2 linked regions of the Caenorhabditis elegans genome follow. The protein of the gene in region 2 interacts with the protein of the main gene of each other region in a pairwise test. Each region holds a gene or a part of one and is shown on either strand. Other genes may lie near its edges.

Evidence for each region.
Region 1: the proteins of sas-1 (region 2) and cyld-1 interact in a two-hybrid assay, tested with the Caenorhabditis elegans proteins (one large-scale study listed by BioGRID).

What each region holds. Positions count from the first base shown.
Region 1 is NC_003281.10:9,906,611-9,914,450, forward strand, and holds the start of cyld-1 (ubiquitinyl hydrolase 1), read right to left. Parts: upstream 4,049-7,840; 5' UTR 4,048-4,048; coding exon 4,011-4,047; intron 3,959-4,010; coding exon 3,801-3,958; intron 3,746-3,800; coding exon 3,506-3,745; intron 3,113-3,505; coding exon 2,987-3,112; intron 2,707-2,986; coding exon 2,630-2,706; intron 2,587-2,629; coding exon 2,478-2,586; intron 443-2,477; coding exon 338-442; intron 1-337. Other genes in the region: F40F12.9 (CCHC-type domain-containing protein), read left to right, coding at 6,411-6,489, 6,537-6,668, 6,940-7,070.
Region 2 is NC_003281.10:12,695,795-12,703,483, reverse strand, and holds the start of sas-1 (C2 domain-containing protein), read right to left. Parts: upstream 3,991-7,689; 5' UTR 3,986-3,990; coding exon 3,913-3,985; intron 2,277-3,912; coding exon 2,144-2,276; intron 1,234-2,143; coding exon 1,119-1,233; intron 1-1,118.

The DNA.
Region 1 (7,840 bases), 2.8 Mb from region 2:
TTGGTCTCGAAAAAAGAGGAAAAACGATTCAGTGAAAGCCCCGAACGTCTTCTAATTGTTTTGTCAGTGAAAGGAAAAGCAAGAGAGAGAGAGAGAGCCAACTTTTCATGTTCATTTGGTGCACACACCCCATAAACAAGGAGCCGCTTGTTCGTTTGTTCAAGAAAAAGAAGTCGATGAGAAGCGCAGAAGTAAGAAGGGAAGGAAGGAACTAGGCACCATACAGCCGGAGGAATAGAAGAAGACGTCACTTTTTGAAATAAGTAGAGGCAGAAGTAGAACTGGAAGACGTCAGGACGGCCACAATAATTGCCTCACGAGGAGACAGCTAACTAACCTGAGAAGTGTTCCCGTCAAAGTCCACATTATACCATATTCCTGATGCTTCCGGTCTCTCACCGATCCACGACACTTTTGCTGGAACCCGTCGCATTGTTTCGTCCTGAAAATAAATTATATTGAAGTTTTCAGAAAAAAAGAGCTCAAAATTAAAAAAAGGAACTAATGGTTCTTGTGCTTTACTATGAATTTTTAAAATTTTTTCAAGAATTATTATTATGAAATTCGCTGGTTTTGAGGCAGTTTCACTATATTATTTAATTCTGAAAATGCGGATTTGGCAATATATTTGACGCGTAAAATATCTCGTAGCGAAAACTACAGTAGTTTTTGAAATGACTACTGTAGCGCAAATGGTCAAAGAGTTCATATCGTTTTAAAATTTAAGACTGCTGAGACACGAAAAATTGGAGATTGATTCTAGCTAAAATTAACAAATTTTTAAAGGAATTTTTGAACCACCATAGGTTTTTAAACACACCAAAAAATGTTCTATTATTTTTCTGCGTCACGAAAAAAGGTAGGTAGGCAATGATTGTATGGAAAAGGGATGAAAAAAAATGGAACTGAAATTGAAAACGGGGCAGCGAATGCGTCAGCCAACGAACAAAACATCATTGTGCATCAGACAAAAAAAAGAAGAAAAATATCACCAAAAAAAGTTTGTCCAACTGATTTTGTTTCAATCAATTCAAGTTCGATGACAACAAATTGGGAGAAGGAAGGGCGTCGCCAATGAAATGAGAAACAAGTTGGTTGAGACGATGAAGAGGAAAGAAAGAAACAACTAAACAGGCAAATAGTTTGTTAGAGAGAGAGAGAGAGAGAGAGAGAAGAGGATAACTTATACTTTCACACAGAGAAAGAGGAACTCTATGTTTTTTGTGTTGAAAAGAGAGAGAGAAAGAACTAAATAGAGAACCGGTTCACGATATCATTGACACTGACCGAAATATGTTTTATTGAACAACATCGAGAGGGATTAAGCATACAGTCGGCAGAAAATTGAGAAATTCTTTCAGTTTTAATTTTAATTTGAATCAGAAGCAAGGGCGTCGGGTTTTCAATTTTTGAAAAAACTAAAAATCGAAAAATCGAAAACTTTTCATTTTTCGATTTTTCTAAAAAGTTTTCGATTTTTCGATTTTTAGTTTTTTCAAAAATTGAAAACCCGACGCCCTTGCTTCTGATTCAAATTAAAATTAAAACTGAAAGAATTTCTCAATTTTCTGCCGACTGTATGCTTAATCCCTCTCGATGTTGTTCAATAAAACATATTTCGGTCAGTGTCAATGATATCGTGAACCGGTTCTCTATTTCATTTTTCGATTTTTCTAAAATTAGCTTTAAAATTTTGTTCATTGTTCTTCATTTTAGAATAAATTGTTTTGTTTTTTTCTCAACAATGTAAACGAAATTAAACTTTAAAAATCATATTTTATGGTTAATTTTCTGAAAAAAAATTGTCTTTTTGATTTTTCGATTTTCCGAAATTTTTAAAAATTCGAAAAATCGAGAATTTTTGTTTTTCGATTTCCAATTTTTCTATTTTGGAAAAACCGAAAAACGACACCCTTTATCAGAAGTATCATAATCTATGTGGATGTATTTTTTTTGTACATTTGAAATTTTCCCGGATTTAATTTTTTCCCGGACCAGAAGAGATAAATATAAATCGAGAGTTTGAGAATAAAAAATAAAAACGAAAATTTCTCGATTTTTTGGACACTAGTAAACTATTTAAGATGAGGCACAATCACTATTTCATTCGAAAAAACAAAAAAATTTCATTATTCGAGCAAGAGACTCCAATTTTTTTTCGATTTTCAAAAAAATTCGTTTTTTTTTTTAATTAAAGCCGGAAAATTGACTTTGTCAGAGCGGAATTTACAGAGGCCTAGCAAAAAATGTGACTCGTGGGCCATTAATTCCTATCCCATTATATTATTTTCAAGAAACTTATAAGTTAGTCATGCCATCGGAATTTCAATCAGTCACGTGTGACAGTCTAATTCTGAATACAAGGAGACGCCCATTTCTCGTCTGCGTCTCTTTATTTTGAATTCGTTGTTTTATTTTTCTTTTTTTTTGGTTAAAAACTAGATTCCTTTGAGAAACATATAATTTCAAATACTTACCACTTCCACAGAAACAGAATCGCCAATTTTCAGATTCAGAATGAAATTGAACCATTCGAAATTTTGATAAACTTCTATTCGTTTCTCTACACTGACAGCCAGAAGATGTCTGAAAAGGGAAAAAATTTTATTTATAAAGATAATAAATATACATTGCTTGATCTTGGTTTATTCTCATTACATCGGATCTGGTAATCATTGCACAAATCAGAGGAGTGCAGTCGAGTTCCTGAAATTTAAAAAAATTGAGAAACTGAAAAGGCATTAATTTGACGAAAAATTTTGTGCCAAAAATACGGTAGCCGATCTCGAAACGACAAATTTTTGGAATTTTTATCGATTTTTTAATCGTTTTTTCAAAAAAAAAAACAAGAATTCTGGAGAAAAACTATACAAATTCAATGAAAATTCGCCGGGAACGAAAATTTTGAATTACAGTTCTTTTAAATTTGTCGCGTCGAGACCCGCTACCGTAGTTTTAGCCGCAAAAATCAGGGTAATTACGATACCTCCATGGGCATTGCTAATCCATCACGTAAATGCGAAGAAGCTCTTGATTTTGTGAACCATTCTTTTAATTCAGACATTTTCCAATCATCATCTGCCATTTCGCGAACCATTGTTCCTGGTGGGATCTGAAAATAGAAAATAAAATTAAAAATGTTTAATTGTGGAAAAAATAAGCAAAAGACCAAATTTCATAACGAAACTTCTCCAAAATGCTTTACAAAAACATGATTTCAGCTAAAACATCAAATTATGCACGCTTTTGAGTGTCGGCCGGATTTTTTTCTCATATTTTGGTTGTTTCTCCGTTGATCAATCGATTATCGGCTCAAAAATTACCTAAATCAACAAAAAAAGCGTTTAAAAAACTTAAAGATGACAAAAAATAAATAAAAATCAAATTTCGGCAGCTACGACACGGAGAATTGGCGATTTTAGATGAAATTCTGTTTTTTTCCCCGAAAACTATCGCTATTCGGTCTTTTTGGCTCATTTTCCTCATTTAAATCCACTTCAATCACCTCAATAACACATGGTTCTTCCTCTCTTCCATAATTCGATGAAAATCGAATTCCTTGAACTTTTCGTTGCAAAAGAGCAACTATTAGCTCGGGAGAATTCCTATTCCTATCCAGCTTCGTCGTCCTATCTCGGCTATAATCGCTAACATCCACTAATTGATCATCTAAAAAGCCGGAGCCAGAAGCTTCATTAATAAGCTCAAATCCATCTATTAATGTGCCGACCGGTATATTTTGATTCTGAAAAAAAAAACGAATTTTTAAAAATCGATTTAGCAAGAATAATGTTACTTACGAGATTTAATCTGTTAGAATTGCTTGTATTTTCACTTGTATATAAATTTGAATTTTTCTCGGACTGTGTAAAATAATCAAAATCGTGTGCAGTTAAATTTGTTATTGTATTTGATCCCGTAAGTTCATCGAGTGGGTTACGAAATTGATGAGATCCAGCTGAAATTAAAAACATAGTTTTAAAAAAAATTATTATTATTTCGTAAAATACCTGATTGCTCCGGAAACTTTGCAAATTCGCCGGGCATTCTGAAATATGCGGGTTGTTTAGAACGTTTGACGAACGACAACATTTCAATAAATGAAATAAAGATTCGTACTATAAGTGGAGAGCGGTGGACGAAGCGCGCGCGCGAAGCTCAGTGTTACGTTTCGGTGAGCAAATAGAAAAGGACGTTGTCCAAACAATTATTAGACTTCCGCATCATATACCTATTTGGTGTTGAATAATATTTTTGGTTTTGACCTCGGGTTTTCCTTGCGCGCTAGGTTTTTTTTGCCGAAAAATAAAACATCGAGCAAGCAAATGACAGAGAACGTTTTCGAAAGAGAATGAGAGAACGAGAGCTTTGACACAATTATTTACAGAAAGCGAGGGAAAATGATAAGAGGCTTGCGGAGCAGATAGTTTATGTTGCAAATGCCATTTAAAATTGCGATTCTCTTCAAAAATGGTAAATTTTATGCGAAAAAATGTAGGCAAAGGTTGAGCATGTTTCTGAAAAATTTATTACGGAATTTACGACGAAAAAATCTTTAAAAATCGCTGAAAATGTTCAAAAATGCATTTAAATGAAACAAAACAAAAATAAAAATTCAAACATGTTTCAAGGGAGGTGCATGTCTGCGGATGGGTCTCGCCGCGCGCGCTGGAAATAAAGTTTTGGTGTCTGCGCCTGTTACTGTACAATTTCTAGGCTTGTTTTCTTCGATTTTATTTGCGGAAAGAAAATTATTGTGTCTTCTAATTTTTTTAAAATGTTCCATTATTTTGTTATTTAACTCAAAATTAATTGTTTTTATAGTTAAAAAAACATTGTTAAAATTCTACAGTAACATTTAAAGGCGCACACACTAAAATTTTATTTTAATTATACATCGCGTGGCGGTACCCAGCCAATATGAGATTTTCCGATATTTAGCGACAGGTTAACATAATTTTTCGCTTTATTTCTTTCTTTTTGAAATAAAACGAAGAAAAAAGATAGTAGTTAGTGGAAAGTGGAAAGTGGAAAGTTTTCAGAAATCAAAATTTCAAAAATATCCAGAATTGCTTTAGAATGAAAGAAAACCGACAAAAACCCAGTGAGCAGATAACAAGATTCCCAGAGCCCACCCCATCTCAAATAGAGCTTCAAATTGACAATTTAAAGTTTAGAGCAACCTTTTCAAGGGTACCAACATGACTAAAAATGTTGTGGCTATTTAAATGAGTATTTGGGTAAATACAAATTTTTTGAGATAAATAAAGAAAAGATGTAACATTCAGATTGCATGTACGTTTGTTTGAGTGCGGTCCAGGCACATGAGTTTATTTGTCAAAAAGATTGGACATTTTGAAGAAGACGAGAACTCGAAATGTAGCTGGAAAGTTTTTTGAAAATTCAAATTTAAAATATAAATTAAAAAATACAGAACCTTTTTTAAATCAAACCGAACACGCAGTTCAATGCAAAAATCGATAAAAGTCGAGGAAACGGAAAGACCGGTTCTCTTGAGGATAGACGGACAACGCATTCGATTGGACTTGCGCACCAATATAAACAACAATTGAATGCAATAAAAATGTAACTGAATCCATCTTATGGAATAGTGGAAGTTATCACATTTAATAAACAAAATTAATAGTTAAAAGTATCAACAGAAAATACATTAAATTATCTTTTCGTCTCTCCTATTGAACATTGAGTTATTCAAGATAATATTTTTTAGCTAGAAATGACGTGTGTTGAACTATTGTGTGGCCTTAAGTTTGGAACCATAATACTATAATGTGAACTTAAAGACGCACGGATTCATTCAGATGGGTCTCGTAGCGATAATAATAACCGGGGCTCATCTTAAAGTCTCCAGTAGTCGCTTTTTAAAAGGAGTTTGAGATAAAATACTTAGAATTTGAAGAGAGAAATAGGATTTTAAAAAAAATTAATTGAAAAACTAACTTGGAGAAAAACTATTAATATAGAAGTGAAAAATATATTATCTAGCCAGGTAGGACGGAAACTGAATACAAAAAAAATATTAAATTCAAACTGCCGCGTTTCTTTTTGCCAGTGTGTCTAATTCTCTTGGCACATGGTCAGAGAGGTTTCGCAAGAAATATTTCAACATTTTCTTGATTACCAAATATGTACAATTATATATCTAAACAGATAACTTTTCATTTGCTAGAAAATAGTATTATATTTATTATTAATAAAGAATTTTTACATTTTCCAGAAATGTGAAAATTCACAGTAAAAGTTTTGGCAAACTGCCAAAAATGTTCAGTCACTTATTAATGCCAAAATTTTTAAAAATTAATTTTGAAAAGTTTTACCGTATTATTTAGTTAGAGCTACTTTACCTGTAAATATTTGTGACTCACTATCAATATTCCGAATTTTCAGTCATGCCCCATAACAATTGCTGTAAATTTCAAGAACCCACTGACAGTTCTGAAACCTCAAGCATGCACAATTTGGAACAAAGTTTAAACTTTATATGGCATAATAATTAAGTTACTTGTTTCTTACAGGTATATGCTACAACTGCCACAAACTTGGTCATATGTCTCGTGATTGCCCTGAAGAACAACCTAAAGCATGTTTCAAATGTGGATTCCGTGGACATTATTACCGAGAATGCCCATCACAAATAGAGAAAAAATGTAATCACGGGGAAAACAGCGAATTGAAAAGTTGTTATCAATGCCAAAAAACTTCAAGTTCATGAAATAACTTATCGTGTCTCTTAACTTTTATTCGTGCAAAAATAGCTTTATATTTGTTGATAATAAAATATTTTTACTTTTTCAAAGGAATTTGGATAAATGTGTCATAAAACATACTTTAATAGAAACTTGAGAATATTGTGTTCAATCTATGTGAAAAGACGTTCGTTACGTTTTCTGGTTTTCATACTAATGATCACTTTTTCAGTTGTTTTTCTCATTGCTCTGCTGGCAGTTTACAACACGACGTTTGCATCTAATAGTGTCTGCCACATCACCAGAAAGCCACTGATGCTTCGAGCTCCATGCGATGTCTACAAGAATCCAGTGCAATTTTGAAGAGCTGCTTTTGTTCTCATTCTCTGCATGCATAAGTGATGTTGCGTCTTTGTACTGTAAATAAATTTGGCAGAATAAAGTGCAACATTTAATTAATAGTCCATATACGCACCGAGTTTTTATAAATTTTCACACTCAACATAGTGTTTCACTATGTTGAAATAGTAACACAGTACATCAATGGCGTCACCAGCAAAAACGATAATTATCATTTCGGTTACTTTCCGATTTCACAATCGCAGTGTATCACATGCTATTTACTGATAACATCCACTCTTTCATTTCATTTCGCTTTTGCTCATTCTTAAAACAAGTGATTCAGAGCAAAACTTTTAGCGACTTGTAATACATTTCTTACAAAACATTGCTTTTTGTGTATAATTTTTCCTTTCTTTCCTATATTTTATAAATGAGTTAAAAATGTACAAATCAACGAATGATATTCAAAACCAAATTGTGATGCAATATTCGTCAGTTCTCTCATTTGTTACAATCTAAAATGGATAACTATTTAGATCTCTTCTAAATGATTTTTATTCAATTTCATTCAGATTTTGCCGTTTTGAAAATTTTTCAGGCAAACCATAAGCCTGAAATTACCCAATTTTAACACCTTTTGTATGGAGTTTTTCTTTAGGTTTTGTATAACTTTGTTCATTTTTGGATCAAGCAAATATCAGTTTATGAAATCACTGGTTTTTGCATTTTCAACCTTATAATTTTTTGTCGTATAAAATTGTTAGTTTTTGACTATCACTAAAATATTTTAT
Region 2 (7,689 bases):
CGTCGCTCCGCCCACTTTCCAACCAATCAGGTGGAGTGGGAGGAGTTCGAGAACGCTGATTGGTCAGAGTTTTATAATTTCGCCATTTTTTGCGTTTTTCTGTGATTTTTCGTAATTCGAGACTATTTTCGATTTTTTAAAGAAAAAGTCTCCCCGACCAATCAGCATCTTCAAACTCCGCCCACTTCATCGCGGATTGGTTGGAAAGTAGGCGGGGCGAGGCGTTGATTGGTCAGGGGCAGTTCTCATTTTGGAGGGAATTTGAAAAATCACGCTTTTTAGAGTTGAATTATTTATTTTTCGTTATTTTTCAGAATTTTACACTTTTTTTAGTTGGAAAAAACTCAAACTGAAAGCTGAAAACTTTTAACAAATTTTCATAATTCCCAGCAAATTTTGCTTCAAAAATCCAACAAAAAACATAAAATATTTATGGTGCGTCCATAGTCTGCGGAAAACGGGAATTTCCCGCGTGCGGAAGCGTCCATAGTCTGCGGAAAAAACAAGGAGTTTCTCGCTTTGTTATTGGTCAATTTCAAAATAGTGGGCGTGTTCAACCAATTAGAGGCTGTAAAATTTTAAGCTGAGCAATGGGAAAACAAGAAACAACAGCTGATTGGTTGGCCACGCCTACTTTTTTGAATTTTGAGGAAAAAAAAAGCGAGAAACTCCTTGTTTTTTCCGCAGACTATGGACGCTTCCGCACGCGGGAAATTCCCGTTTTCCGCAGACTATGGACGCACCATTAAAAAAAAAACACGAAAATTGCTTTAAAAACGCGATTTTTCAATTTTAGTTAAATTCCCTCCAAAATGAGCTGCGACCAATCAGCGATCGTCGCTCCGTCCACTTTTCAACCAATCAGGCGGAGTGGGCGGAGTTCGAAGATGCTGATTGGTCGGGAAGTCATATTTTGATTTTTAAAGCTTTTTTTTAAAATAAAAATCTGATTGGTTGAAAAGTGGGCGGGGCGAAACGCTGATTGGTCGCTTTTCTTTTTTTGGACGGAATTCAACGAAAAAATTGAAAAATCGATTTTTTGAGTTGAATTTTTCATTTTTCGCGATTTTTTTAGTGATTTTTCACGCTTTTTCTGAATTTTCAGATGAAAAACTGACTCTATGATTAAATACAATCTTCATAATATCGACCTCTTTTTCCGGAATTCTAATGGTAGTTTTAAGCGATTTTGAAACTGCATCTAGGCATGGAAATGTGTATTCGAGTTGGAATCTGGAAATTGAAAAATTTGTTAAGATTATAAATTTTGCAAAATTTTTCGTGGGAAATTCAAATTTTTGAGAATAAATTGGCCTGGAAATTTTATTTATTTAAAGGAGGACTAACGGTTCGGACAATTTTGAACGTATAGACCCGAAATGAGCTCAAATGAACGAATTTCGTAATGAAACTTCTCAAACATGTCTCATAAAATTTTTTATGGCGGTTCAAAAGTTCGAAAAAATTACACAGATTTTAGCTAAAATCACGAATTTTTCCCATTTTTCCGTGTCACATCCGTCCGAAGTTGGCTTTTTCGGAATTATCGTCCTTTATTACATATATTGGTAGTTTATCTCATTTAATTTAGTCGATTAACGTACATTTAAAGCCGATAGGTAACTAATTTCGATGATTTTTGGTTACCTATCGGCTTTAAATGTACTTTAATCGACGAAATTAAATGAGATAAACTACCAAAATATGTAATAAAGGACGATAATTCCAAAAAAGCCAACTTCGGACGGATGTGACACGGAAAAATGGGAAAAATTCGTGATTTTAACTAAAATCAGTGTAATTTTTTCGAAATTTTGAACCGCCATAAAAAATTTTTGAAAATTTTTTGAGCAGTTTCATTACGAAATTCGTTCATTTGAGCTCATTTTGGGTCTATACGTTCAAAATCGTCCAAACCGTTAGTCCTCCTTTAAATTTCGGCGAAAAAATCAATTTTTTCTCGAGAAAAAAACATTTTTTAGCTGAGAATTCAAATTTTCTGATAAAAATTTGGATGGAAAATCATCATTTTTCAATTTTTGGCGGTAATTTTGTGGCGGAAATTCATTTTTTTCAGAAAAAAAAAGTTGCTTCGGCGGGAAATTCAACTTTTCCGAAAACAAAAAAACGACGATTATCTCACCCGAAAAATTCCCGATAGTTATGCAATTTCTGAATGAATGGATTAATGTCCGGTAGGACGATCTGATCTAATTTAATTCGTATAAATGACAAATCTTTGAGCACTTTTTCCACTTGAACATCATCGTATGGATCTGCAAAAAAAAAATCGTTTTCGCTTTTTCGCGGGGTTTTTTTTCCGGAAAATCTAATTATTGTTTTAAAAAAATTGATTTTGATTTCAAAAATGGAAAAAAAAGCACTGGAAATTATTCGATATTTGAATTTTTATGTCGGAAAATCTCGCGTTTTCACTGCAACTTTTTCCTCACGAGGGACGAGGAAAAGTGGTTTCTAGGCCATGGCCGAGGGGCCGACAAGTTTCAGCGGCCATTTATCTTGCTTTGTTTTGCGCCTGTTTTCTTTTGTATTTTCACAGCTTTTTCCCGTTTTTTCTTATTAAAACTGATAAATAAATATTTTTTGCAGATGCTAAAACAATTTCCAAGTAAAAAAATCATGTATTCAGTGGGCAAGCAGCGGTGAAAGTGGTCAATGCAATATGATGGATTACGGGAATACAAAACCTAAACTTTTTCTGAAACATGATACATACGCTGCTTAAATGCTGAGACTACCTGATTTTCATAACGAGACCGCTGAAAAAGTTTTGAGGTTTTCAAAATTCAAATTTTTTGGTGAAAAAGTCGAGATTTTCGCACAAAAAGTTGAATTCTGAAAACCTCAAAACTTTTTCAGCGGTCTCGTTATGAAAATCAGGTAATTTCAGCATCTAAGCATCATATGTATCATGTTTCAGAAAAAGTTTAGGTTTTGTATTCCCGTAATCCATCATATTACGATGCCCACTTTCACCGTTGCTTGCCCACTAGGGCTGTGCGGCTGATGACTCGGCTGATGGAGACAATCAAGTTTTTCAACGTGTTAGCACTGATCAATTAAAGAATATTTGTATTTGCAGTATTGGCTGAGTCATGAGCTTCTTATTCTAGAAAAAAGTTTTTTTTAAGTGCACACACCTTGACAAAACAGTCGGCTTTTTGAATCAGCCGAGTAACTCGGCTGTCGGCTGTCGGCTGATTGGAAAAACGAGTTTTTCTGGAAGGGGTGTGCACTTTTTTAAAAACTTTTTTCTAGAATCAGAAGCTCAAGACTCAGCCGATATGGCAAATACAAGTATTCCCTAATTGATCATTGCTAATACGTTGAAAAACGTTGATTTGCTCCATCAGCCGAGTCATCAGCCGCACAGCCCTATTGCCCACTGAATACATGATTTTTTCACTTGGAAATTGTTTTAGCATCTGCAAAAAGTATTTATTTATCAGTTTTAATAAGAAAAAACGGGAAAAAACTGTGAAAAACAAAAGAAAACAGGCGGAAAACAAAGCAAGATAAATGGCCGCTGAAACTTGTCGGCCCCTCGGCCGTGGCCTAGAAACCATTTTTCCTCGTCCCTCGTGAGGAAAAAGTTGCAGTGTTTTTTAAAAGATTTTTTTGAAGAATAAAGAACAAAAATTTTCGAATTTTGGAAATATCGAAAAAAAAAATTATTAGAAAATTTCATAATTTCCGTCATTTTCTCATCAATTTCTCATCTTTTTTTTTTAATTTAAAAATCGTTATTTTTTGTTTTTTAATTTTGTTCTGAAAAGTACCAACAAATCGAATTTTTTTGTGAAAAAATAAAAAAAAAGAAAAAAAAAAAAAGTTTTTTTTTGAATTTTTTTGAATTTCTTAAAATTTCAATTTCGACTCATTTGGATGTACCTCTTTCCTCGGTGGGTCTCTGAAAATTTTCATCAAAAGCTTTGACAATTACTGGTGCCCTTCTCGGCTTCATTAGTTCTGAAAGAAGTTTTAAAATTTTGAAAAAAAAAAAATTAAATATATAAATTAAAAATCGAAATAAGCTTAAAATGGATCACAAAACCACTACCACAACCACGAAAAAAAATTGCAAAAAAAAATTCTAAATCACGGAATTTTATTCCAAAAATTATGTTTTTTTTAGGCACAAACGGAAAAAAAATTACACGTAACTGATAATAATAATTAATAGGTATTAGATGAGAGGGGAGGACAGAGAGAGAAAAAAAATTAATTTTTGGTCCAATTTTTGACCAGAATTATTGAATTTTTGACAAAAATAAAAATAAAAAACTAGCATGGGAAATGAGAAAATCACAGCTAAAATGCACCATATTAAGAGGAAAATGAGGAAAAAAAATCGAAAAAAAAGAAAAAAGGTCATAGATTTACAGATATACAAAATGAATAAATATAGGAAAATTTCGATAACTTTTGGGATTCCGCTTGTTTAAAAAAATCCAAAAAATAGTCTCAAATTCAAAAAAAACCACAAAAAACGGAAAAAATCGCGAAAAAACTCCCCGACCAATCAGCGACTCGCTCCGCCCATTTTCGGACCAATCAGCGTCATCGAGCTCCGTATTAACCAAAATTTTATAGATTAAAGATGAACGTAAAAATATAGAAAAATATTCAATTAGTTTGAAAATAAAATTTATTTTTTAACAATTTTATTTTCAAACTAATCGAATATTTCTCTACCAGCCGCTAGCACGCGCCAAGGCGCGTGCTAACGACTGGCAAAATTTGACATGTTTGACACATATCATCAATTCAATTAATCCTACAAAAATATCTCATGAAAAAAGGTGAAAATGTCCACTTTTTGAACATTAGGATTCCCTCCAAAATATTTTCAAAACATTAAATTTTGAATTCCCGCCAAAATATTTTCAAAAAATTAAAAATTTAAATTCCCGCCAAAAATGTTTTCGAAAAATTAAATTTTGAATTCCCGCCAAAATATTTTCAAAAAAATTAAATTTTGAATTCCCGCCAAAATATTTTCAAAAAAATTAAAATTTGAATTCCCGCCAAAATATTTTCAAAAAATTCAAATTTGAAATCCCGCCAAAATGATTTCTCAGAAAATTTGAATTTCCCGCCAATTTGTGATGACGTCACAAAAGGGGCGGGGGCTATAGGACCCCTCTTAGGTGATTGAGACTACAAACTACAGAGTTCAAAGACCAAAGATCAAACTACAAACTACAAACGGACGGAAGGACACGCGCTTTATATATAGTAAATGATATTTCTACATTCATCTTCAATCTATAAAATTTGGGTTAATACGGAGCTCAAAGACGCTGATTGGTCAGAGAGTGGGCGGGGCGAATCGCTGATTGGTCGGAGAGTTCTTAGTGATTTTCTGGTTTTTATAGAAAGTTCCGATAATTTTTGGGATTTCGATTGTTTGAAAAAAAATCCAAAATAGTCTCAAATTCAGAAAAATCGCGAAAACTCCCCGACCAATCAGCGACTTGCTCCGCCCATTTCAGACCAAGCAGCGTCTTCGAACTCCATATTAACCCAAATTTTAAAAATCAAAAATGTATGTAAAAACATCGAATCTAAAAAAAATTCAAACTAATCGAATATTTCTCTATATTTCTACATTTATCTCCAATCTATAAAATTTGTATCAATATGGAGTTCGAAGACGCTGATTGGTCAGAGAGTGGGCGGGGCGAATCGCTGATTGGTCGGGAAGTTTTTAGCGGTTTTTCTGAATTTTAGATAATTTTTACAGCAAAAATTGTTAAAATTATCGAAAATAACCCAAATTTGCTGGGAAAAAAAATTTAAAAATTATGAGAAACAGCTACAACAACGGAAATAACGATTCTACACACACACACACAACCATCACGACGACGACGTCTAAAACGAACTCAAGGATCATCATCTCCTGAATCTGGTCTCTGTACATCCCATTCATCCGTTTCATCGGATAAATCGGCGGCATTTTGCCCGTTTTCCACGGAATTATCGTCATTTTTCCGGCGAATCGAATCGAATTTAATTGTACATGCGTCTTCTTCTAGATTAATACCATCTTCGTCTACGGAAGCGAGTGTTTCAATGTCGTCTGGGGTCTGAAAATTTGAGTTTTCGCGATTTTTTAAAGTTTTTTTGTGATTTTTCTGAATTTGAGACTATTTTGGATTTTTTTTTGAACAATCGAAATCCCAAAAATTATCGGAATTTTCTATAAAAACCAGAAAATCACTAAGAACTCTCCGACCAATCAGCGATTCGCCCCGCCCATTCTCTGACCAATCAGCGTCTTTGAGCTCCGTATTGACCCAAATTTTATAGATTGAAGATGAATGTAGAAATATATAGAAATATTCGATTAGTTTGAAAATAAAATTGTTAAAAAATAAATTTTATTTTCAAACTAATTGAATATTTTTCTATATTTTTACGTTCATCTTTAATCTATAAAATTTGGGTTAAATGGAGCTCGATGACGCTGATTGGTCCGAAAATGGGCGGAGCGAGTCGCTGATTGGTCGGGGAGTTTTCGCGATTTTTTCCGTTTTTTGTGGTTTTTTTTTGAATTTGAGACTATTTTGGATTTTTTTAAACAATCGAAATCCCAAAAATTATCGGAATTTTCTATAAAAACCAGAAAATCACTAAGAACTCTCCGACCAATCAGCGATTCGCCCCGCCCACTCTCTGACCAATCAGCGTCTTTGAGCTCCGTCTTAACCCAAAAATTTTCTGAAAATTTGAAAATATTTCGGGTTTTTTGAAGATCCGTGAATTGTGCAGTGCCGCACAGAAAAAGAGGCGGGGCGTAATTTTGCAACCTTGCGGCATGGCTTTTTCTGTTGATTTTTCCAATAAAGTTCCAATTTTACTTGTTTTATTCTCTTTTTTTTTGAATGAAAAAGGAGGAATCTTGAAGAAAAACCGTGCCGCAGGGTTGCAAAATTACGCTCCGCCTCTTTTTCTGCGCGACGCTACTTATAGAAAGTTCAACAAATTTTTAAAAGAAAAAAGGGTTAAATTCTGTAAAAATCTGCTGAAATTCGGAAAAAAATCAGGAAAATCCAAAAAAAATACTGAATTTCATAGTAAAACTTTACAAAATTTTGCCAAAAACAAAAACGGTTGAAATCTGAAACTCGGCCGGATTTAAACAAATTTGAGACATTTTTCTTGCAAAAAAATCTCAAAAGTACGAAATTTTAGAGTTAAACTATTTTTACTAAAAATTTAAACACTTTTGACATAATTTTGAACAATTTTACTATGAAATTCGGTCTTTTTTGGCGGTTTTTATGTAAAATTACGCAAAAAATTGCTTTAAATGGCAGAAAATAGACCCAATAACGACAGAATATTACAGTTGAAAATTTTTCAAAAATTCTTTGCGTCATTTTCGATATTGTCGGGCTAAATTCGTCGGGTTTTCTCGATTTTTTGTTCAAAATTTCATTTAAAACGATCTTTTTGTCAATTTTTCAGGCGCTTTTCCGTTAATAAAACTTGAAAACCCGAAGGAAATTGGCCTAAAAATCGGCGATTTGGTGGTTTTTTTTCGGAAAAGGGTTTGAAAAGTTATAAAATGAGCCTGAAAAATCCAATTTCATAAGAAGCGGTATTCAAAAAATGTACAAAACTTTCAGATTTTAGCGGTTTTTGGCGGTTTTTAATGTA